3 linked regions of the Diceros bicornis minor genome follow. The protein of the gene in region 2 binds, or shares a complex with, the protein of the main gene of each other region. Links are inferred from orthologs where the notes say so. Each region holds a gene or a part of one and is shown on either strand. Other genes may lie near its edges. The genes, in order: KAT14, YEATS2 and MBIP.

The links.
Region 1: YEATS2 (region 2) and KAT14 share a complex: the UniProt entries of both Homo sapiens proteins name them as parts of the ADA2A-containing complex. The link is inferred for Diceros bicornis minor from reciprocal best matches to the Homo sapiens genes YEATS2 and KAT14.
Region 3: YEATS2 (region 2) and MBIP share a complex: the UniProt entries of both Homo sapiens proteins name them as parts of the ADA2A-containing complex. The link is inferred for Diceros bicornis minor from reciprocal best matches to the Homo sapiens genes YEATS2 and MBIP.

What each region holds. Positions count from the first base shown.
Region 1 is NC_080758.1:44,871,508-44,879,576, reverse strand, and holds the start of KAT14 (cysteine-rich protein 2-binding protein), read right to left. Parts: upstream 3,018-8,069; 5' UTR 3,017-3,017; coding exon 2,758-3,016; intron 1-2,757. Other genes in the region: protein PET117 homolog, mitochondrial, read right to left, coding at 3,331-3,480, 6,777-6,872. UniProt on the Homo sapiens protein: Component of the ATAC complex, a complex with histone acetyltransferase activity on histones H3 and H4. May function as a scaffold for the ATAC complex to promote ATAC complex stability. Has also weak histone acetyltransferase activity toward histone H4.
Region 2 is NC_080754.1:39,887,836-39,895,137, forward strand, and holds the start of YEATS2 (YEATS domain-containing protein 2), read right to left. Parts: upstream 3,018-7,302; 5' UTR 2,887-3,017; intron 2,714-2,886; exon of another isoform or gene 2,644-2,713; intron 2,530-2,643; 5' UTR 2,428-2,529; exon of another isoform or gene 2,409-2,427; intron 2,217-2,408; exon of another isoform or gene 2,153-2,216; intron 1-2,152. UniProt on the Homo sapiens protein: Chromatin reader component of the ATAC complex, a complex with histone acetyltransferase activity on histones H3 and H4. YEATS2 specifically recognizes and binds histone H3 crotonylated at 'Lys-27' (H3K27cr).
Region 3 is NC_080744.1:13,267,771-13,275,140, reverse strand, and holds the start of MBIP (MAP3K12-binding inhibitory protein 1), read right to left. Parts: upstream 3,013-7,370; 5' UTR 2,980-3,012; coding exon 2,851-2,979; intron 1-2,850. UniProt on the Homo sapiens protein: Inhibits the MAP3K12 activity to induce the activation of the JNK/SAPK pathway. Component of the ATAC complex, a complex with histone acetyltransferase activity on histones H3 and H4.

The sequences.
Region 1 (8,069 bases), on a different chromosome or scaffold from region 2:
AGTGGACCATGTGCTATCGCCACTCACAAAAATTAACTCAAAATGGATCAAAGACCTGAAGGTGAGACCTGAAACTATAAAACTCATAGAAGAAAATATAGGCAACACACTATTTGACATTGGGTTTAAAGGAATCTTTTCGGATGACATGCCTACCCAGACTAGGGAAACTAAAGAAAAAATAAACAAGTGGGACTTTATCAGACTAAAGAGCTTTTATAAGACAAATGAAACCAGAATCAAGATGAACAAACAACCAACCAGCTGGGAGAGAATATTTGCAAAACATACATCTGACAAGGGGTTGATCTCCATAATATATAAAGAACTCACACAACTGAACAACAAAATAACAAACAACCCGATCAAAAAATGGGCAGAGGAAATGAACAGACACTTCTCCAAGGAAGATATACAGATGGCCAATAGGCACATGAAAAGATGCTCAACATCACTAATCATCAGGGAAATGCAAATCAAAACAACACTAAGATACCACCTCACACCCGTTAGAATGGCTATAATCACCAAGACAAAAAACAACAAATGTTGGAGAGGATGTGGAGAAACAGGAACCCTCATACACAGCTGGTGGGAATGCAAATTGGTGCAGCCTCTATGGAAAACGGTATGGAGATTCCTCAAAGAATTAAAAATAGAGATGCCCTATGATCCAGCCATCCCACTACTGGGAATCTATCCAACGCACCTGAAATCAACAATCCAAAGAGGCTTATGCACCCCTATGTTCATTGCAGCATTATTCACCATAGCCAAGAAGTGGAAGCAACCTAAGTGTCCCTCGACTGACGATTGGATTAAGAAAATGTGGTATATATATACAATGGAATACTACTCGGCCATAAAAAAAGACAAAATCGTCCCATTTGCAACAACATGGATGGGCCTGGAGCGTATTATGTTAAGTGAACTAAGCCAGAAAGAGAAAGACAAACACTGTATGATCTCACTCATATGTGGAATATAAACCAACACATGGACAGAGAAAACTGGACTGTGGTTACCCGGGAAGTGGGGGTGGGGGGTGGGCACAAGGGGTGAAGGGAGTCATATATGGGGTGATGGACAAACAAAAATGTACAACCCAAAATTTCACAATGTTAGAAACCATTAAAATATCAAAAAAAAAAAAAAAAAAAAAATAGCTGAGCTCCCACTGTGCTAGGCAGTGGGCTAGGAACCAGGAATACTACACCCAAGACAGACATAGTACCTGCAAATTCTGTGAGGGCTACATACAGGGAAACAGGTAATCACAAGAGCACAGTGATTCTCCCTCCTCACTGTGCATCAGCATCACGCACAGTTTTTGTTTTAAACATGCCTGGACCTACCCCACACAAAATGAATCAATCTCTGAAAGTGAGGCCTGAGTCTCTGCTTTTTTTTTAAAGTTCCCAGGTGATGCTGACACTCTGGGAGACATGAAAACCACTGGAGTGGAATGTGATGTGTGCCATAGGGCAACGTGTGGGCACATAAAAGAGGTACCCAACACATATTAGGAAGAGAGCTAGAAAAAGTAGGGTCTACAGGGGACCCAAAGGATGACTAGAATTGGCCGGGTGAAGAGAGGCAATTGTGTGTATGGGGGGAGGGATGGAGGCTATAGAGATGCATAGCCCAGAGAGGAAATTAAAATGTGCAAAGTCCTCGGGATAAGAAATAATTGTTTGTGGTGAGAAAAAGCTCATCCTAACTGCAAAGTTCTGTTTATATGTGGGGATAGGAGGCTACTAAGGAGAGGCTGAAGAAGTTAGCAGGGGCCGATCATGAAGGACAGTTTAAAACGTACCCTGCGAGGACAAGGGGAAAGCCACTGAGATTTTCAGGCAGAACCCTGAATTAATAAGCAGAGACAGCTCGGAAGCAACAACTAGCTAATATGTAATAAAATCTAGGTTTGTTTTCTGTGAAAATGTTATCTATTAATAGTAACTATTAATCTGAATAGATGAATCCATCTTGAAAACATTTCCACGTAACAGAAAAGGACCCACTTCACAATTATATATAAAAATTTCTCTGATCTAGTTACCAATTCTATTACACAAAGTATTCCTCCAGTACATATGTCTTTATTAGTCTCTGCCTAATGGAAAAATCCTGTTTGGTAAGTCTCATGATGGCTGGCAAAGCATACTCCCTGAGAGCTAAGAAGCTGGCAGCTAAAAGATGGAGCTGAAACACTGAGGTGTCAAGGGGGTACGTAACTATGTGCCTCTCGAAGTAGACAAGGAGGCCAACAAGTAGGAAACAAGAACGGTCCTAGAAAAAGGGCACAAAACACTTTTAATCTGCTAATTCTGACCTCACTTCAGCATACAACAGCAGGAGTTTTCCACCTAAGTTAAATATTAACAGAGTAATTTTTGTGAACTTGACCTTTAATTCTACACTCGGCCTAGAATTTGGCCCCAAATCCATAACAACGTGATCTTGGAAGAAAAATGTGACTAAGTCTTTAAGTAACAGAGGATTTCCAACTTTCTAATTTTTATTGGATTACCATCAAGAATGTTAATTTAACAACATGATAGAGGTTGACAGTAATTTTTATTAGTACAAATGTGTCTATGTTTTATATAAATTTGTAATTATTCAACTAAACTAATAATAAATATAATAATTATCTTTTTACTTAGGTCTGTTTTACATTCACGTTTCTTTCACAGGTTAGAAAAACAAACCTGCACATAGGAACTGACAAATCAAAGGAAATGAGAAGCTCCTTACTGGCTGGTATCCATCTCTGGCACTTGTCACAGAAGTAGGCCAGCCGTTCCTCCATCCACGACACGTCTCCTTCGTCACTGTTGAGGGAGTCCCCACTCTGATCATGAGACAAGTCCACTGATGCCTGGTCCTCTGACTCAACAATCAGCAGAGTCTCCCCCTCCACCTCACCCTCCTCAAGTCCTTCTGAGGTAGATGTTCTAGTGGCTTCATCATCGTGCCGACTTATCAAACCACTCAGGTGGACGTTACTATCCATCCCTTCCTTCTCACAGGTGCAGAAGCGCTTCTCAGGAACAATCCTAAGCTCTGGACACCAAGCTTAAAGCGGCTTCTATCAGGATCACACAAACAGAAACTCTTCAGAAGAGTGTCTGCCCACTTCTTTACTCAGATATAGGAGACTTTTAAAGCAATCATTTAAAATATATGACCCATTGTCCTTTTTTTGATCAAGTTTAAAAAGACAGTGACAAAAACAAGGTTGAAATTTCTCTAAGCTGTTCTCCATCAACACACTCACACACACATTTAACGCTGTCTGTCCCATCGATTTTTCCCATTCATTTCAAGTCATGTTTTTTGAGATCCTTTTGCCAATACCATCTTCTCTCTTTCTGCTTCAAGTTGCTCAGTTAAAATAATCTGTTCTCCCAAAAGGCGAATGTTTTCTTTTTTCCGATTTTGTCTCTCAATGTCTCTGATCACTCCGTCACGAAGCCTCTAAAAACGTAAGCAACAGATTTCAGTAACACCCTGACCAGGTGGTTCCCATCCTTGTGCCATCCAAATCCAAACAACAGTGTTACCAAAATACACCTAAAACCTTCAGATTCCAAATACCCAGTTACTACTGTAACTTTCTGTATAAATGTAAAATGTAATAAAGAAACCATCAACTTAACTGGGTACTGTGCTATAGCGTTATTACTGAAATGACTTATCATATTTTAAGAAATTCCTGAACATTCAGTATAGAAAACTTAATGGGAAATAACAATTAAAAGAGAAAAAACTGCCACTATACTGAATTTTAAAAGTTTGATAGAGGATGCTTTAAAAACTTGATGAGATACTACATCAACTCTGAACTACTTTCCTGTTAGCAATTACCCTAGTTGAATAATAAACATCAAAGAAAAAAAACGATTACTAAAACTTGAACAAACTGTAAGGAAGCAAGAAAGTAAAAAAACTGGCGCCCCCCCAGAATGTAAAGAGAAAAAGTAAAAATTATTCAGAATTACTAATCAATTACATAAGAAGGAGAGAAGGGGAAAAAATAATGCTACTATCAGAGGAAAAAATAAAGGCCCGTCAATGGTAGTTACTTTGATAAGCACTAAAGACAGGCAGAAAATTCCAGAACGTGGACCTGGCACCTAAGATGAGACTTATTAAAGCATCAATCCAGTCATTACTAGTAATTAACACTTTATAGATTATAGGTCACAAAACACTCTATTAAGTTTTTAACAGTGGCCCTGTGAGGTAGAATTAATGGGAGTGGGGCTGGGGCATTTTTTTTAAATTATTATGTCTATTTAAAAACTCACCAAGTACCTACTTGCTGGACCTCCTCCAGGCCTAGAGCTTCATTTGCTATCATGGGGGAGTTGGGAAATTTAAGAGTCCGGGGACTGATAACACAGCTGAAAACCAACTTTCTTGAACCCTGTACCCTTTGCAAGATCTCCAGAGACAGAAATGGAGACACTCATTCCACTCCTCCCTCCCCATTTCTTCCTGTCCTGGGCTCCTTACACCATGACACACCTACAACACCCCAACGCACCCCCCCGCACAAAGTCCACACCCACTGTAATCACTGTTTCCACACCTGCCTCTGAGATCCTACCCTTCCTTTCTCAGACACTTTAGCACATGGCTTAGGATCTTGCTCTCCATCCATCATCTGCTATCTTCCTCCAAGTTTCAATGTCTTTGTGATTGCCTCGCACATCCCTCCTGGGACTTCCACTTAACTACCTTACTAACCGCCTCGCTTACAAACCACCAAGACCTCTTCACTATTACAACTCTAACACCTAGAACTCTGGCTCCTCCCGCAGTACCACTTGTTTTGCTGGGTTCCTGTGAGGATTAAAGATGATGTACATAGAGTACAGTACCTGGCATGTCGTAGACAGTCAAGAACAACAGGAAACAACAATCATTCTTTTATTTCTTGCTTCCTTGAAACTTCCAATATGTCAATGTTTTTTTGTGGTGAGGAAGATGGCCTTGAACTAACATCTGTGCCAATCTTCCTCTATTTTGTACGTGGAATGCCGCCACAGAATGGCTTGATGAGTGCTGTAGGTGCGCGCCTGGGATCTGAAGCCACAAACCCCGGGCCGCTGAAGCGGAGTGCCCCAAACCGAACCACTACGCCACTGGGCCAGCCCCTCAATCTTTTGTCCTACTCTTTCCCATTGCTGGGAAGTAAGCCCACCCACATGAACAACTGGATGTAAAGTAAACACACTATTCTGGTCAATCTTTTCTTCATCTCTAACTTCCAAATACCTAAATCCTCCTGTTGTTCCACTCTCTAACACAGTGGTTCTCAACCTGGGCTACATGTTAGAATCCCGTGAGTCAATTTTAAAACAAAGCTAAGCTGGATCCCCATGCCCTAGAGATGTTGTTTAATAGGTCTGGAGTAGGGCCCAGCCTCAGCTGCACTGTAAAAACTACCCAGGAATTGGGATGTGTAGCTAGGGTTCAGAACCAAGCTCTAACTCATCCCTAGCCCGTACCCTTTAAAAGTCCCTGCATTGGCTGACCTCAGAGCTATATCTGACATACTATCCTCCACTCCATCTCAAATTTTCTCAAGATCACAGTCTTTTCTTTCCTAGAGGAAGAAGTCTCCTGCCTCTATTCCAAATGCTACCCCCTTAGAACCTGTACTTTAATCCCAAATCTCTAATCTCTTCCATGCCCTTTCATCATTAGTCTCCCATTACGCCCTCCTCAAAATTTTTGTATCATTACAGGCTTCCTCTTTGATTTCCAAAGTCTGAACAGCGAGGACTAGACCTCATGTGCTTCACCTCTGTATACCAAGCACAGAAGACCGTCCAGTGCAAAAAAAACTGTTCACTATTGATTCATCCAGTCCATTACTTCCACCATTGGCAAACTAGGCTAAACCCCAATCCCTCACCAAGATGTTGAGACTTCACCCACGACCTAGTTGCTCCTTCTCACACTCAACACCCAGCACTGTTTTGAATCATTTAGTCTCAGGAGCAGCTGTGCTTCCTCATCTTTGTTTCCCAAAGTGCCTAGTGTGGTGCCTGACACACAGTGACCAGTCCTTAAATGTTTGCCAATTGAATAAGAAAGAAAATGTGAACTGAGAAATACAGAACGGACGGTCAGTCCACTGATCGGTAAGTCTCGGATATTTCCAGAAATAAAAGTACTGAAAAGAGAAAATTGGGAGGCTGGTCTCTCTAGTGTTCCCTGAATCTAGTTTCCATAGCAAAGTGTTCCTTAAAAAAAGAAAAGAAAAACCAAGTATCTCACCAAATTACCTTGGCCAAAAAAGCACGACGGCGAGAGCGGGGACGCCTTCTTTTTCATGGGATAAAACCTTTTTAACTTTTAAAGATATCAAAACCTAATCTTGGGCCTGGGGGTAGAGAGAGGCCGGTAACTCGCTGGGTGCACCCCAAAGAAACCCTTCCCCGCCTCTACTTTCCAGCGGCCCAAATGAGGTGCTGGAAGGTCTCTATCCCCGCAAGCTGCCTGCGACCTGAAAGCAGGGCCGCCGAGCACCCGCGGGCGTGCGTTGGCGGAGCCAGGTGACTTCGGCGCGGAGGGCCGGGCCCCCCGGGCCCCGAAGACGCACGCGGCCGCGGGCTGCAGCGCCCAGGGCTGAGCGGGCGGCGGCCGGGCCGCAGCGGGAAGGCGTGGAGAAGCCGAGCCGCGCCGCGAGGACCCGACAGGAGGAGAGGCCCGGGGCACCGCGCGGAGGGCCCGCGGAGAGACGGTCACGTGACACCGACCTGCTGGTCCTGCCGCTGCTTCAGATGCACGCCGGCCACGGTGGCCGCCGTCAGCACCACCGAGAGGCCCAGCACCGCCTTCGAGCTCCTCGACATCCCCCCGCCGGCGCCGCGACCTCCTCCCCCGCCCGAGGCGTAGGACCGCCGCCCTGCGCGCCGCCGCCGGTGCGGCAGCCTCGACTCCTCGAGCGCAGAGCCCCCGCCGCCGCGAGCGCCGCCCGCCGCCGCCAGACGCGAGCAATCGAGAGCCGAGCGGTGCCCCGGCTTCGCGGAAAGCGAGGCTTTGGTTGCGGCCCCCAGACAGGAGGGATCCCCTCCCCACCCTGCAGGCGGCCGGGTTAGAACTCCCAATTCAAATTCTAAAGAGCCCCGACCCAAAGCTGGCCCCAGCACCTTGCCGGGGTAGGGGGTTCCCTGCCTGAGCCACCTCATCTCCTCCCCGCCCCCCGCCCCCCGTCCCCAGCGGCGGGAGGCGTCCTGGGGGCCGGATTCCCGATGCGGTACCTTGCTGACCCCTCTCCCACGCGCGTCCCTTCTGAGCGCAGGGCTGACCCAGCTGCTCTGCTCAATACCAGCTGCACCAACGCAGCCCCCGTTGCCCCTGTGGCGGGGTAAGTGCCACCAGGAGATGGAGTTTTTGCTTCTTAAACGTGTAGACACGGTCACCTGCTTTCACCTTGGCGATCTGGGGTGGCTGGTCAGGGTCTGATTTTTCTTAAAATCGAAAACCCTTCTGGCTAAAGAGCATGCTAACGGGGCAGCAACACCTCCTTGCCTCCTGATAGGAAAAGCGCTGGTCACCGAGTTGCCCATGTAAATCCTTAAGAGATCACTTTTACTCCCTGGGAGCCTCAGGTCCCGCCGCGGTAGGAGAGGATTCCTGATAGCGCCGTTACTGGGAATGTGCGTGAGGGCATGAAGTAGTGCGTTGACAGTAGCGCAAAGTGCTGTGCAAGGCACGGAAAGACTTTGGCTTTCCAGTGAAGAGATATTTTCATTGTCATTCTTTCACACTAGAATTCACAGGGAACAGGGAGGTGACGTCAGCATCATGGCGGAGTGAGCTTTCCGTGAACTCTACCCCGACAAGATACAACAAAAGCAACAGCCACAGACCAACAACGGAATCCCAGACAGTGAAAACCTAGAGCGGAGGGATCCATACTGCCCGCACATCTGAGAGCGGAACCTGCTGGGCCCCCTGAGGAAGTGGGGAGAGGTAAGGAGAACTCCGCTCCCCCCCCATCAGATCCCCGATCCGGTCCACGTGGCTCCCAGAGAGGGGGGAGGGGC
Region 2 (7,302 bases):
CCTCAGGGACAATCTTCCTCCCCCCCAAAAAAATGGTTAAGGTGGTAAATTTCATGTTATGTGTATTTTGCTACAAGTGAAAAAAAAAGTAGACAGGAGTTAAATGATAAGTATGGTTTTTCCATTATTAACCATGTCCTTCCTGATGGAGCCTATGTAATAAATGCATTTATTTCCAGGGGGTAAAAATACACTCATGCGCTGCATAACGAGGTTTTGGCCAATGATGAACCGCACATACGAACATGGTCCCATAAAATTAGTACCATAGAGCCTAGGTGTATAGTAGGCTATACCATCAAGGTTTTGGTAAGTATACCCTATGATGTTTGCAGAGAGATGAAATCGCCTTATGACACATTTCTCAGAACATATCCCCATTGTTAAGTGACATATGACTGTACACGGGTGGGAAATTCTGCAAGTTTTATGTCAAGCTATATATTTTTAATGATAGAGAACTCTTGACAATCAATTAGAAAATGACAAATACAATTAAAAAGATGCACAGAGGACACGAAAAGAAATTCAAAAATGGCCAATAAATGTGAAAAATGTTCAAACATACTAGTAATCAAGGAATGAAAAATTAAACAAGACACTATTTTTCATCTATCAAATTTAGTTTGAGGGTTGGGCCGGCCGTGTGGCTTAGTGGTTAAGTGCGCCCACTCCGCTACTGGCTGACCGGGTTGGGATCCGGGCATGCACCGACACACCGCTTCTCCGCCATGCTGAGGCCCCGTCCCACATACAGCAACTAGAAGGATGTGCAACTATGACATACAACTATCTACTGGGGCTTTGGGGGAAAAAAAAAGGAGGAGGATTGGCAATAGATGTTAGCTCAGAGCTGGTCCTCCTCAGCAAAAAGAGGAGGATTAGCACGGATGTTACCTTAAGGCTGATCTTCCTCACAAAAAAAAAAAAAAAATTTAGTTTGAGGGCAGATGGAAATAAGGTGTCTTGAAGAAGGGGTACTTTTTTCTAATTTACACTCATTGTCTTCACTTCCTTATGTTCCATTCAATTATTCCAATCTGGTTTCCACCTCCCACTTCTAGAACTCTGAACAGTAATACCAACGACCAAAACCAATAACCTCCACACTGCCAAATCCAACTGAGCATCTCACTAAACATCTCAGAAGCACTAAAGAACCAATTCTCCATCTTCCAGAAACTTAGACTATCTCTCTTGGCTTCCATGACACCAGTCTGCTGCTTTTTCTCCTACCCCACTGGCTGTTTCTTCTGTCCTGTGCTCAATCTTCTTCCTCTACCACACCTCAAAGTACGGGAGTGTCTGAGCCCTGATTTTTCACTTCTCCATCTATACTCTTTTCCTAAGTGATCTCATACAGTCCCATACCTTTGATTATCATCTATATACTGAGTATTTCAAATTTTTATCTCCAGCTCTAGGCTCTCTCTTCCGTGAGTTCCAAACCTGTACATCCAATTGCCTCCTCACCATATCTACTTCATAACTAATATGCACTTCAAATTTAAAACAGAACTCATTCTTTTTCCCACCTCAAATTTCTCTCTTCCATCCTCCACTTGCTCACTACATGCCATCTACTCAGAGTTGCTTAAAACAAATATCAAAAGCAGAGTTCTCCCTTTCCCTCACCAATCCACTTCCAAGTCTTGCTCATTCTACCTCCAAAATATTTTAAAATCTTTCTAGTCTTCTCCATCTCCACTGCCATGGACCTATGCCAGGTATTGCAAACAGCATCCTAACTAATCTCCCAGCTTCCATTCTTGCCCTCTTCCCCCACAGAGCAGTCAAAATTATTCTACTTGCATTCTTAAAACCTTCAAAATATTCCCATAAAATCTAAATTCCTAATCAGGACATCATCTGCTCCTATCTTTCAAAGACTGTACACAACCAAAAACATACACTCAATGATAATATCTCTAGGCAATAAAACTACCAGTACTGTATTTTTACATTTTTCTATGATGAATACTTGCTACTTGCTTATTAAGGAGGAAATGATATTGCTGAATACTATATAATATTACATGTTATGAAATATGAGAAATATGAGAAAACACGTTAATGAGAAAAGAGAGTACAAAACTGTAGGTAAACTCATTGTAACTGTTATAAGCTTAGAGGAAAATATCAGCAAACATACCAAAACTCCAAGAATGATGTGTCAGGGCTGTAGGATTACTGGTGATATTTTCGTCTTCTACGTTCTAGTTTTTAACATAATCACATTCACAATAGAAAAAAAAGGTTATGATATAAACCTCATTGTCTCCTGCAATCTTGCCACAACCCACCAAACCAGCCTTTCTTCCAAGAACTCACTTTCCCAAGCTTTCCACCCCAACCCCGCACTATCTCACACCTTTAACTCGGACACCATCCCTGGAAGATCCTCCTACCTTTCTACAGCCTACTCACCCTTCACCGGGGTGAGGGACGGCAGGGATGGAGACGGAGATTCCAGGATTCTTGTCGGTAAATTCACAACTTGCCAGTGCTGGGGCCAAATCTCGTCTCCAACTGGTGGCACAGGGCACCAAGCTTAACATCCTAAAAGCTCCGGGCACTGGGGCTCAAGGGACCCCATCCCCTCAGAGAGCGCTGCGCCCCTTAGGAAAGGACCCTCACACACACCCAAATTCCGGGTTCCAGCTTCGGAGACTTGCCTGACAGACACAGTCACCGTGGATCCAGCCCCCAGCGCCCGATCCTCTCCTCTCCGCAGTCACCCGCTCCCTCCCTCCCCTCGGCAGGGGGCCCGCGCGCCGGCGGGTGGGGGAGGGGCGCGCACGTGCCCGCGCCGCCCCCGCCCAGACAATGCTCCGGAGAGCGGCGCGCGCGCCCGGCCGGTCCGATCCCGCTCCCGCCAACACTCACCCTTTTCCCGGTCTCCGGCTGAAGCACAGGCCCCGCCGGGGGCCGCGAAAGGGCCCGGGCGAGGAGAGAGAGCGGACGAAGCCCCGCAGAGCCGCCCCGCCACGAGGCCCCAGCGACCCCGGAGCCCGCGGAAGCACACGGCTCGGCGGAGACCGCTCGGCCCGTTCGCCGCGCACGTCAGCAGCAGGGGCGGGGCGGGGTGCGCGCGGCGGCGGCGGCGCGCGCGCGCGGCCCCGGGGCGGAGCTCGCAGGGATGTGGGCGGGGCCGGGGCACAGGCTGGTGCTGGGGCCTGGGCCCGCGCGGGGGTTGGCGGTTGGCCCGGGCCCAGACTCTGACCCTGGCCGGCGCTGCTGCGCTGCCTGGGGAGTACGGGCGTCGGTGCTGGGAAAGGCAGCGTCATTTATCAGTTTCCTCTTTAGAAGAAGATGGCGAGGTCCAGTCCGAAGTTTCAGAGAATATTCATTCTGCCGGCCTTTATGAAGCTTCGCCAGTAATAACAACAGTGGCTATGATTTTTGTGTGTGTCATCTCGTAGCAAGTTTTGTGCTAGGTGCTAGGAATACAAATAACAATAGCTATTTCTAACCTGTTCTACAGATGCAGAAACTGAGGCTCGGAAAGATTGAGACTTATCTAGGTCGCACAGCTAGTGAGTGACAATCCACCAAGTCCAGTTTTCGTCCTAAATATCTCTTGAGCTCACTCTTCGCTTTTCTTCTCCCTGTACCACCCTACCCCAGACCCTGGTCACCTCTCTGTCCAAGACCGCCGTAGCCTCCCAACTGGTCTCCAGTGATCTGTTTCTGTCCGCCTTCAATCTCTTCTCCTCACTATGTAAAGGTTTACCACTGGAACTGGGTCGTAGGTTTAGAGGGGATTCACTTCGTAATTTTTTGTACTTTACATATATGTTACCAATTTTTGGATGTATTTAATGTTTAATAAAAATGTTTTAAAAGATTTACTTCTTTATCTCCAATAGCAAGCCTAGTACATTTCACATAGTATGCACTCTGAAAATATTTGTTGAATGAATGGCTAATAGGGCCAGGAACTGACTCCAGAGCCCTTCATGGGAAAGAAATAGAGGGATTTATAATATGTCACGCTTGGTCTCCTGACCTTAAGGTCTATTAGAGGTAAAGATAGATTAACAATATTTATTAATCTAATTTTTATTGCATTTCTATTCTGTGTTCTGGCACTGTGTGCCAAGCTCTGTGTTAGGCACTGAGGATCAGAAATGAACAAAACAGTTCCTGCCTTTGTGAAATTTGCAGTCAATTTTATCGGAAAGGCCTCCCTGAGCTTAAGCTAAGACCCAAAGAGAGAACAGGAATTGGGGAGATAAAAATAAATTTCATGGAGAAAGAGGTAGGGTAAGAGGTTATCATGAGTGTGTCAGTGTTCCCCTACTTTTGGGGTCTAACCCTGAGGCAGAGGCATAGAAGTACCCAGCTAAGTGGAGGGGGAGGGAGAAGCCCACTTCCCATGGCCCAGCTTGGAAGGCTGCCGGATTCTGGCAAGAAGTCTCACATTGAGCAGGGCTCAGGAACAGACAGTGGCATTGGGGAGGGAGGGGGTCTGAGATGATGCTGCTGGGTGTCCACAACTTGCAGATGGCGTGCCAGAATCTCAGACTTCTCTGTATGCTCCCTGCCAGGCAAGCAGAAAGTAGAATGGTTGAGAGCCATGGACGGGGCAGTGAGCACTGTGCCAGAGGCCTGGTAATCCTAAACAGAGGCAATGATGGACTGATTGGCAGGGAATGGCTGGAGAATGTGGCTCAGACCTCAAGGATGGGCAGAGCCAAAGACCCCAGCAAGAACTGAAATGCTCCCAAGTCAGCTGGGGAGAGGAGCAGGGATAGAGGATTGGGGAGTGGGAAGGTGAGACGTCAGACTCTCAAGGTGCTGAAGCAACAGATCATGAGCTTGCCAGCCAACAACCTCAGCAGCTGATGCCAGCAGGGCTGAGGTGACCAGGAGTGACCAGGAAGCACAGGCCAGTGAGGACCCAGGCTACAGCTCTGCACACAGATCTGAGACCCTTCTGGCCACCACCTCAAAGCTTCCGTTGCATCCCACAGGCCATCTTGGGAACTCAAGAGGAGGAAGGGGAAAGTTCTGACAGGACTGCAACCTTGAATTGATTGAATGTTTACTCAAAATGAGACTATTAAGACCAGATAACTTTCGGGCTGGCCCCGTGGCTTAGCGGTTAAGTGCACGCCCTCCGCTACTGGCGGCCCGGGTTCAGATCCCGGGTGCGCACTGACGCACCGCTTCTCCGGCCATGCTGAGGCCGCGTCCCACATACAGCAACTAGAAGGATGTGCAACTATGACATACAACTATCTACTGGGGCTTTGGAGGAAAAATAAATAAAAAAAAAAATTAAAAAAAAAAAAAAAGACCAGATAACTTTCATTGGCAGGTTTAAGTTTAGCCCATTCCCCAATAGGAATGAGAGTCCATGAAAAAGTTTGCAACATTTAAAGAGAAATAACATAGCTACAGATGTTTGTACGTATGCATGCAGTGTGTACATTTCAATAACAGATAAGATCTAGGAAGGAAATGGACAGGGTGCTGAGAAAGCACAGCATAGCGGGACCAGATCTAATGTGGAGGGAGAAAAGGCCTCCCCGAAAAAATAGTAAGTGGAACCTGAAGGCAGTAGGAGCTGCTGGGGCACGATTAAGTCTGAGACAAAGTGAGAGAAACCCAGGGTCACTGAAGCAAGAGCAGAGTGGTTAGGGTGGGGCTGAGAGTGAGGCAGGAGGAAGATCACGCAGGGCGGTGGGTTAAGATTTTGATCTTTACCGTGTGAAAACAACAGGAAGTCATCAAAGGTTTTTAAGCGGAGGAGTAAGGTATTCAATTTGCCCTTTAAAAAAGACCACTTACCCAGCAAATGGGTGGGGAATGCCTGGAAGGGTGTGTGAACAAAGCAGCAGCCAGACAGTTGGAAAGCAATTTGAGTGGCCCAGGTGAAAAATGAGGGTAGCTTACACTAGACAGTGGAGATGGAGGGAAGTGGAAAGATTCAAGAATTGTGGAGAAAATACTGAGAGACTTGGTAATGAACTGGGAGGGGACGGACGAGGAAGGGGAAGGGGACTGGCCCCTGCTAGGTCTAATGGCATGTGAGAAAAAGCTGCCCCAGCCTTTAAGGGGACAGTGCCCTGTGCTGGGGCACAGCTGGTGGTTGGATTTCAGGCCCCTCCCTGGCAAGGCCTAGTCAAGCAGCAATCACCCGCACAACCACTGGAGGTGGGCCTGGAAGGAGAAGATGAGGAAGGAGAAGAACTGAGGGTCACTCCCAGGTTCCTGGCTTTGGCAAATGGTGGGTGGTGGTGCCATTTACCGAGAGGAGGGAGACTGAAGGAAGAACAGATTTTGTATGTTGCGGGGTAGGTGAATCAAGAATTCCCCTGGGGACATTTTAAGTTTGAGGCATCCACCTGAAGAGACTCAACAGGCATCTGTACATGTGGTTCCGAGACTCAGAGGAGAACTGATGGGTGGTGCCGTCAGTTGCCGCCAATACTGTTGTCAACAGGTAGTTGGTGAGAGCTGGTGAGATTGCAGTGGAAGATAGTACAGTTCAGAGGGGTTGCACAGTCACAGCCTACAATGTCACACTGCTTTAAACAAGCCAACACTCCAAATATTGAGAAATTTCACATACTAACCTGGATTTCTCCTTCTCTGAAAAATCAGAAGCTGTGGTAACCTGGACCTACATTCCTATAATTAGTTATTAGCTAACACTATGTACCAGGCAGTGTTCCAAGCACTTCACAAATTTAATCTAAGTAACAACTTTATTATTATTATTCATACTTTAAGGGAGAGAAAACTGAAGCACAGAAAGGTTGAATAACGTGTTGGACAGCTGAGAAGTGGAGCTGGATTGCAGACTCAAGCAGTCCTGCACTGAGTCTGAGAGCTCAGCTGCTGCACCACGGATGCATCTGGAAAGCTGCAATCCCATTTAGAGGAGCCCTAGTGCCTTCAGGAGGGCTGAAGTAGGTCCCACTACCCCCTGTTGTCTTCCTGACTCCTCCATCCTACTCTGAGCATCAGTTGCCATTTATGGTTTTACTCACACTGCTGTTTTCTCGTATTAGAGAACGATTTCTCTATACCCATGCCTCTACCAAGTAGAAAATTAAAAATATTAAATCGAGACATCTAACTTCTATGAGTAAGAATTAAAAAATTCTTTATTTGTGAAATCTCTGTGTGTCTGGTCAGATAAAATTGGTAAAAATGGGTTAATATTTAAATTAAATGAGAAACTCTTAACTGTGTTTCCATGCTTCTGAGACAATCATACTTCTGAGTTGATCTGTCATTCCCAAGTACAGGAGATTAAAATGACAAGGGAGCTGAAACGTTAACTAACTT
Region 3 (7,370 bases), on a different chromosome or scaffold from region 2:
ACTTTTCTAGGACATGTGTTTATGCATACTATAAGGATATATTGCATATTACAATCAACTATGTTATTTTTTCAGAAATCATTTATTAAAAATTAGTCATGTTTTCTACAAAATAAAGACAAGTGTTACATTAGTTCAAATACAGATCTTGTGAGTTGTGATTATAATAAAAGGATGAATCACTATACAAAGAACAAAAGAGATCCAAAGTTACCAAAAAAATGCACTATATTGAATGAATACTAATTGACAGAAATTTACTACCCTTCAAATGTGAGACCAGAAACATCTGAAGTCCATACTAGACAAGCATAAAGAAACAGGAAGTTTTGTGTAGGCTGCACTGGCAAATATTAGTTAATATTAATTTAACTAAGGTTTTACATGAAGATTACCACATTAATCTTAATTTATATTATTTAACACCTATAAAGATTTTGTTAGACAACAACTTATGTGTGGAAGCAAAGTATTATTATACTTTTACAGTCTTCAAAGAGATCTATAGTCGATTATAACAAATTTATAAATACAGTTTGGGGATAATGCAGGCAAATCCTCAACCAAAACAAAGCATCAAATTTTCTAGAGAAAATAATAACTCATAGAAAATAAATCTTAACGTTAGGATCATATTCTCATTTCAATTCAGCAGAATTATGTAAGCCTTCAAGTGCAATTAAAGATCCTTTGTCTTTTAAGAAAGCCACATAATAATGTCACAAATTAAAATAATCCCAACGCATCCAACTATTTATTCAACAATTCTCTATTAGTAATATGAATTCTATGCATTTTTACCCTATAGAACTTGTAACTGTAAACCACTCACTCAAAAATGTATTAGTCTGCCATCAATATGGACTATTTAAATATGCATTTTCAGTAAAAACATTATTAAATTAATACGAAAATCCAAGCTAACAGTAAGTAATTCTTCAGCTTGGTAAAATGGCCATCCAGAGGCAAGCCATAAGGTCAAAACCAGTAAATTTGAAACCTGGAATAGAAAATACTTTTTAACATTCAACTTTATGTTTCCTATTGAGGAGAGCTAATAATACAATGATACTATACAAAACGAACTTAGGCATATTACAACATACATTTTAAAAAAATCCTTTAAACTCATTGCAAAAGGAAATAGGGATCTCCTCCAGAGGAAATTTTATTAGTACTCTGGCTTTCATTCTTATCTTTAAACAATGAATCTCAATACATAAAAAATATTACCAAAATGGTTAACATTTAATCGATGAGACAATCTTATTTTTTTGACACTCGTATAGATGGTCTGTTCACTATGTCACGTACACTCGCCAAATATTTACTCTAAACATTTTTGGCAGGTGACATAAACTTTAATCACATTTCTACTTCTACCTACAGAATATCTGAATGTTTAAAATTTTTAAATGAGCTTTAAAAATTAAGTATGCAAAATATTTTAAACAAAATGTTTAAATTATTTCTTAACATTATTTTAAAAAATATCTCATCACTGAAAAAAACCTCTGTAAATTATAGGTGAGCACGAAATTCTTTTATCCTGACATTAGAATATAAATAAACCTTCAAGTTCCAATCTTCATGCCATAAAAAGTTCTCAAACTTTTAAACCATTTACAGGTCTTGGGTCTTAAGCCTGAAATATTAATGTCCCCAAGTCCTTAAAAAATTTTTTTGTAGTAAGTCTTTGGCAAACAACTGAGTTTAAGTTACAATTTTTATCAGATTCTATGAATAATCGTTCCATTACACCAATGTTTAACTTAGAGTAATGCTCTTTGTAAGTCACGACAAACATATTAGGATTTTGAAAATTACTGAAATAATCTTTTAAAAAATCGATTCTCCATCCACCCAAGGCTTTTAAAAATAATTTTCTCAAATAAGACAAATGCTCTATTTTCATAAAGTTACCATATCTTCGACACAAATGCCTGCTGTGTCTGTTACATGCACTAGTACCAGACCCATACAAACTTTTACAGCTAAAAAATTTTCCGTCTAAGATATAAGAGAAAAAAATTCCTTTAAAGGCTGACAAACTTATTTTCAGGTTGTTTCTCATTTAAAATTTGTTTTGCATTTTACATCATGAAACATATATAATATATATATAGTGACTTGATTGTAATAGAGTGTAAGGAGCACTTTTATTTAAACCCAACTTTATTATGATACTTCTGCAAAAGCTATTTATCAGCCAGTTAAACTAGTTAATAGATAAACAACTAGCTAAACAACAGTTCTGATGCGAACAGTATCAACCACGGATAACTCATCCAACTTCATGCTATAAGTATTTTAGATTCATTCCTTTTATTTTTTTCCCCATTTGAAAGGGTAAGAGTTGCACACAATGGCCAGAAGGAAAAAAGAAATAAACCAAGTGACTCATAAGAGCAAATCACCCAAGCAAGGCGGAGAGAGGGTTTTTCTAGCAATCTCAGGCGGCACTAACGTATCCATTTCTAACGAATGAACTGGAGGAAAAGGGATCCTGAGCGCCAGACGCCTCGCAAACCCTCAGAGAAGCTTTTCCGCACTGATTCTCTCCAAGCCTGTTCCTCTTGGAGCCGGGTTGCTCTTATACTATCCTCACTCACTCTGGGGGAGAAGAGTTGCAATGAAATCTAGTCTGCCCCCGGTCCTGAACTAAGCCGGTGCGGCCCTCCTCACTCCGACCGCAAGCGTCCGGGCCTGGACTCCTTCCTCCCCCGGCCGCAGCCTCTCCGGCGGGTCCCACACCCGGCAGGCCTCCGCTGCCCCCGTCCTCCGCCAGAGGAAAAAGCGGGGAGGGGCCGCACGGTTCCCATACCCCTACTCCCACAGGCCACCACTCACTTGTCCGGCCAGGGTATGCAGGGAGCGAAAGATTTCGCAGAGCACCTCCTGGGAGAGGCTGGGGCTGCAGCTCCGCTCCAGGCTCCTGTTACCGATGCTAGGGCGACTAAGCTCGGTGGCCGCAGCCATGACACCTTCGCAGGCCACCCCCGCCACCACAGAGACGCGCTCACAGCCCCAACCCCTCCCTTTCCGGCTGTCGTCGCTCGGCGATGACGTAAAAACACAGCGTCTCGCTGAGAGCGGAGCTTTGAGGACCCACCCTCTCTATGTGATTGACAGCACGTGCACCAATCAGATGCAGCGATAGCGTTACGCGGAGGACTGAGAGCAGGAATTGCGGACCTGTGCAAGGCTGGGTGCAGTATTTGGGATGGTGGTTGGAGTCGTGGTCGGCTGAGGTTTAGCTTCATGAAGCCTACCTTGACTCTTAGATGTTGCTCAGAAGTGTTGGTAAGAGGAAACTTATAGCTAAATGTTACAGTTTTAGCCCCAAATTAAAAGTTGAAATTTTAACATGGCGCTCTGGCGTGGCATGGAGAAAAATCGCTGGTCAGGGATGCGGCGGTCCCCAGACGTATTTCTAAACGTTGAAGAACTCTTTCATACAGAATTGTCATAATTGGATAGGACGTTTTCATTGCTACAAGGTTGTTTAAAACTTACACAAATTAACGTCACTAATTTTTCATGCGAGGGACGGGGCTATATAAAAGAACAATCAAGTGCTCTGTTATGCCACATTTACTATCAAGGAAATGACATTAATTACTTTAAATCTGCAAAATAATTATGTCCAGTTTTAAAACGTGCATCAGTTGCTATTCTCTGGGTGATAGCGTAGAGACGCTCACCCTAAAACTGCTTCAAAGGAGTGAAACAGTCAATATGATTCCAACAGGAATTTAACCCAAGTAGGTAATTGCATGCAATACAATCTTTGAAATTGTAAGGAAGACAAATCCAAATTGAAATTTGACGAAGTATTATTTATCAGATAGCCTTATTAAAAGATATTTGAAGGACTTTGTAATCTTGTAGAATCTTAACATTAAAAAAAAATTTTGTCCCATTGAAAAAACAAGTTGTAGAAGAATTTTTAGTGTTAAGCTCTATTCAAAAACACTTATAAATAAAAATCATCAGTTCAAAGATAAGGGACGAGGGATTTACAATTCTTAATTCTAATAGTCTAATGCAGTTGCAGTAGAGGAAGCAAAGGTGGAAATTTGCATAAGGTATTCTCCAGTTTTTGAGTAGGCGGAGTGAAAGGGGAGGAATAAGGCATCAAGGAACTGGGATAAGGGCTGCAGGGAGAAAAGAACGTCTTTGACCTGTCCCTAGGGAGCCTCTTAATTAGGCTTTCATTTCCAAAGATCTCCAAGCTTGACAGGATCTTGAGAAATCTTGTCTGTTCCCATGTTCCACAGCAAGATATACAGTTTATAACCCAGCCTACATCTAGAGGCATCCAGAAAAAGGTTTCACAATATCTAACCCCAAATTGAGCAACCTTCTTATTCACCGCACTCATCCCCATAGCTAACCTAAATTCATAATTCTTAGCAATGTTAGCATATTTTCTTTGCCTTTGGTTCTCTTGTTAGAGGAGAATATTGTAATGGGGTAACTAGAAATTTTTGTTTTGTAACAAATTAGCAACCAGCTTCAGATCATTTATTTTCACCCAGATGTGAAGATTTGTTTTAAAACCTTTTTTTTCTTTTTTGAGGAAAATTGCCCTTGAGCTAACATCTGTTGCCCATCTGCCTCTTTTACTTTTTTCTCCCCAAAGCCCCAGTACATACTTGTATATCCTAGTTGTAGGCCCTTCTAGTTCATCTATGTGGGATGCCACCTCAGCATGGCTTGATGAGTGGTGAGTAGGTCCATGCCCAGGGTCTGAACCGTTGAACCCCAGCCCACTGAAGCAGAACGCATGAATGTAACCACTATACCATCTGCGGGCCACTAGGGTGTGAATTTTTCAAATATTCATGACTCTGGTATGAAACATGGGAACATGCTTTGTCTATTACCATCTTTGATAAGGCACTGCTCCTTCCTTTCTTTGCCATCACTGATTTTGGAATTTCAAGTTTTACTTGAACCCGTAATATAGACTTGAACCCCTAATATAGAACTAATTGATGGCCATTTGGTTTGTATATAAATTGTGTAATTCTGTTTAAATATCCAGACTTGTACTTATATCTTAGTATTGGTTATTAGATAATTCTTGGAATTTAACTCCTTTCTGCATTATTTCTTCTTTCCAGGGACCTTTCTTTCTCCTTTCTGACACCTACTACCTTCGTTTTGGAAATTTTTCTTATTTTCTCCTATTTATTTTATTTTTTTTTATTTCTCCCAAAGCCCCAGTAGACAGTTGTATGTCACAGTTGCACAGCCTTCTAGTTGCTGTATGTGGGACGCAGCCCCAGCATGGCCAGAGAAGCGGTGTGTCGGTGCGCGCCCGGGATCCTAACCCTGGCCACCAGCAGTGGAGCGCGCGCACCCAACCGCTAAGCCACGGGGCCGGCCCCTCCTATTTATTTTAAATAGACGAGTTTGTAGGCTGAAAAGATGTGGATTTCCTTGGGCTAACTTTAAATAGAAATATATAGATAGTAATGTATAACAAAAATATGATGAAAGCTATGAAATTTAGAAAGGGAATAAAGGAAATAAGTTGCCATTTATAGAAGACTAATTACAGTTTATGAAGTGGGTTGCTGAAAAATCTGCTCCCTGGCAGAAATGATTCAAAGTGTTGGTCTTGGCATTAGCAACGGAGTTAGAAATACTGTCCTGCAAGCTTATGCTAAGAATCAATTGGGAGGATAGAAACTGTAAATGAAATCTAGGCTATCTATCTTATCAACAAAAATGTCCGTTTTGAAGAACTTTAAAGGCACACCCTATAAATAATCCAGTGCACAGCAAAATGCCTGAGATATAATATGTGCTCAACAGATGCTTGTTCAGTGTATGGTAGTACAAATTTTTCCTAATGCAGAAAAGGAAAAATAAATGTTATTTGCCTTCTCTGGCTCCCCATCACCTGATGGATAAATCCAAGTTCCTTAGAATGGCATCTAAGGCTCTTCTCATGATCTGGCCTTTGCCTACATTTCCAGCCTCGTTTTCTGCCTCGTTTCTGGTGCTTAATGCTCTTGAAACTTCTTTTACTTCTTCAAAGCTTTTCTGTTTTTTGCCTACATGTTTTTATTTACACCCCTGCCTCTTGTCTGCTTGGAAAACTCCTATTCCTCCTCAACTCCAACTCAGAAATCCCTGGGAAGTCTCCTCACAGTCCTTCTCATAAAGAGCTTATCTTCTCTGGTAAACTACTCCTACGACTTGTATATACTTCCATTGTAATACTTATCACATTGATAATGAAATTTATTTGACTATGAATCTGCCTCCCCATTGAACTATGAGCATTTATGTGTATCATGTTCATGTACTTAAGGCTTAGCAAAGTTCCTGGCACAGAGTAATTGCTCGGTACATGCTTGCTGAGCTGAATTTATTTGCCTAAGGTGAACAGATTTGTGAAATGGAAAAAAAAAGAAACAAGTTTCTACTCTTGAGGGGAAACTGTAACCCACAGTAAGAATGCTATAAACAGTTCATTTCAAATAATGAAGCATGTCTGTTTATCCTCTTCTGGAATAGCAAATTCAAAATGCTCAAAGTTTTCTTAATGAATAAATATAGCTAGCCTCTGTGACCATTCTCATGAATGACACCCATACAAATTAATTGTACTTACTACATGCCAGACACTCTGATCAGCATTGGAGATACAAAGACGAATCAGACAAGGACTCTCTCTCAAAGAGCTCCAATTCTAGTGGGCTAGGCATATATGTAAACAGACAACTAGGATTATATTGTGACAATGATCATATTAGACGTATGTATAAAGCAAACAATCAGTTCCTTTGGGAAGGTGTTGGGTTCAGTGTCAGGAAAAGCTCTAAATACTTGATATAAAACATGAATTGAGGCTTAAATGATGAGTACAGATTCTCAATTTAGATAAAACGTGAGCAGCAATTTGAACGTGCTTGATGTGTGCAAGGAGGATAGACTGAATAGAGAAGTATGGCTAAGCCAGCATTTCCCAAAGTTTGTTCTGCTGAATTCTAGTCCTATAAGATGCTTCTTTCAACAGAAGTTTCCATGATCAAATAAGTTGGAGTAATATTGACTAATTGTGTTGTCATGCAATGGATCACAGAGTTCCACTTTCTGTTATCAAGGAGCTCAGCACTACAATCAAGTTCTGAGGACACAACTAAACCAATCTAGAAATCCCATCTTTGAGGATTTGTCTACTGGGACTCCCCATACCAATTTCTAATCAGTCCAGGTTTTTAGTCAGGAAACAGAAACTATACCTGTTGTTTGAACAGAGAAAATTTTAATAAAAATTGTTAATTAGGATAAGTTGGTAATTAACTGAAAAGATAACAATATATCACAGAGTTAGCAAATTCAGGAAGCAG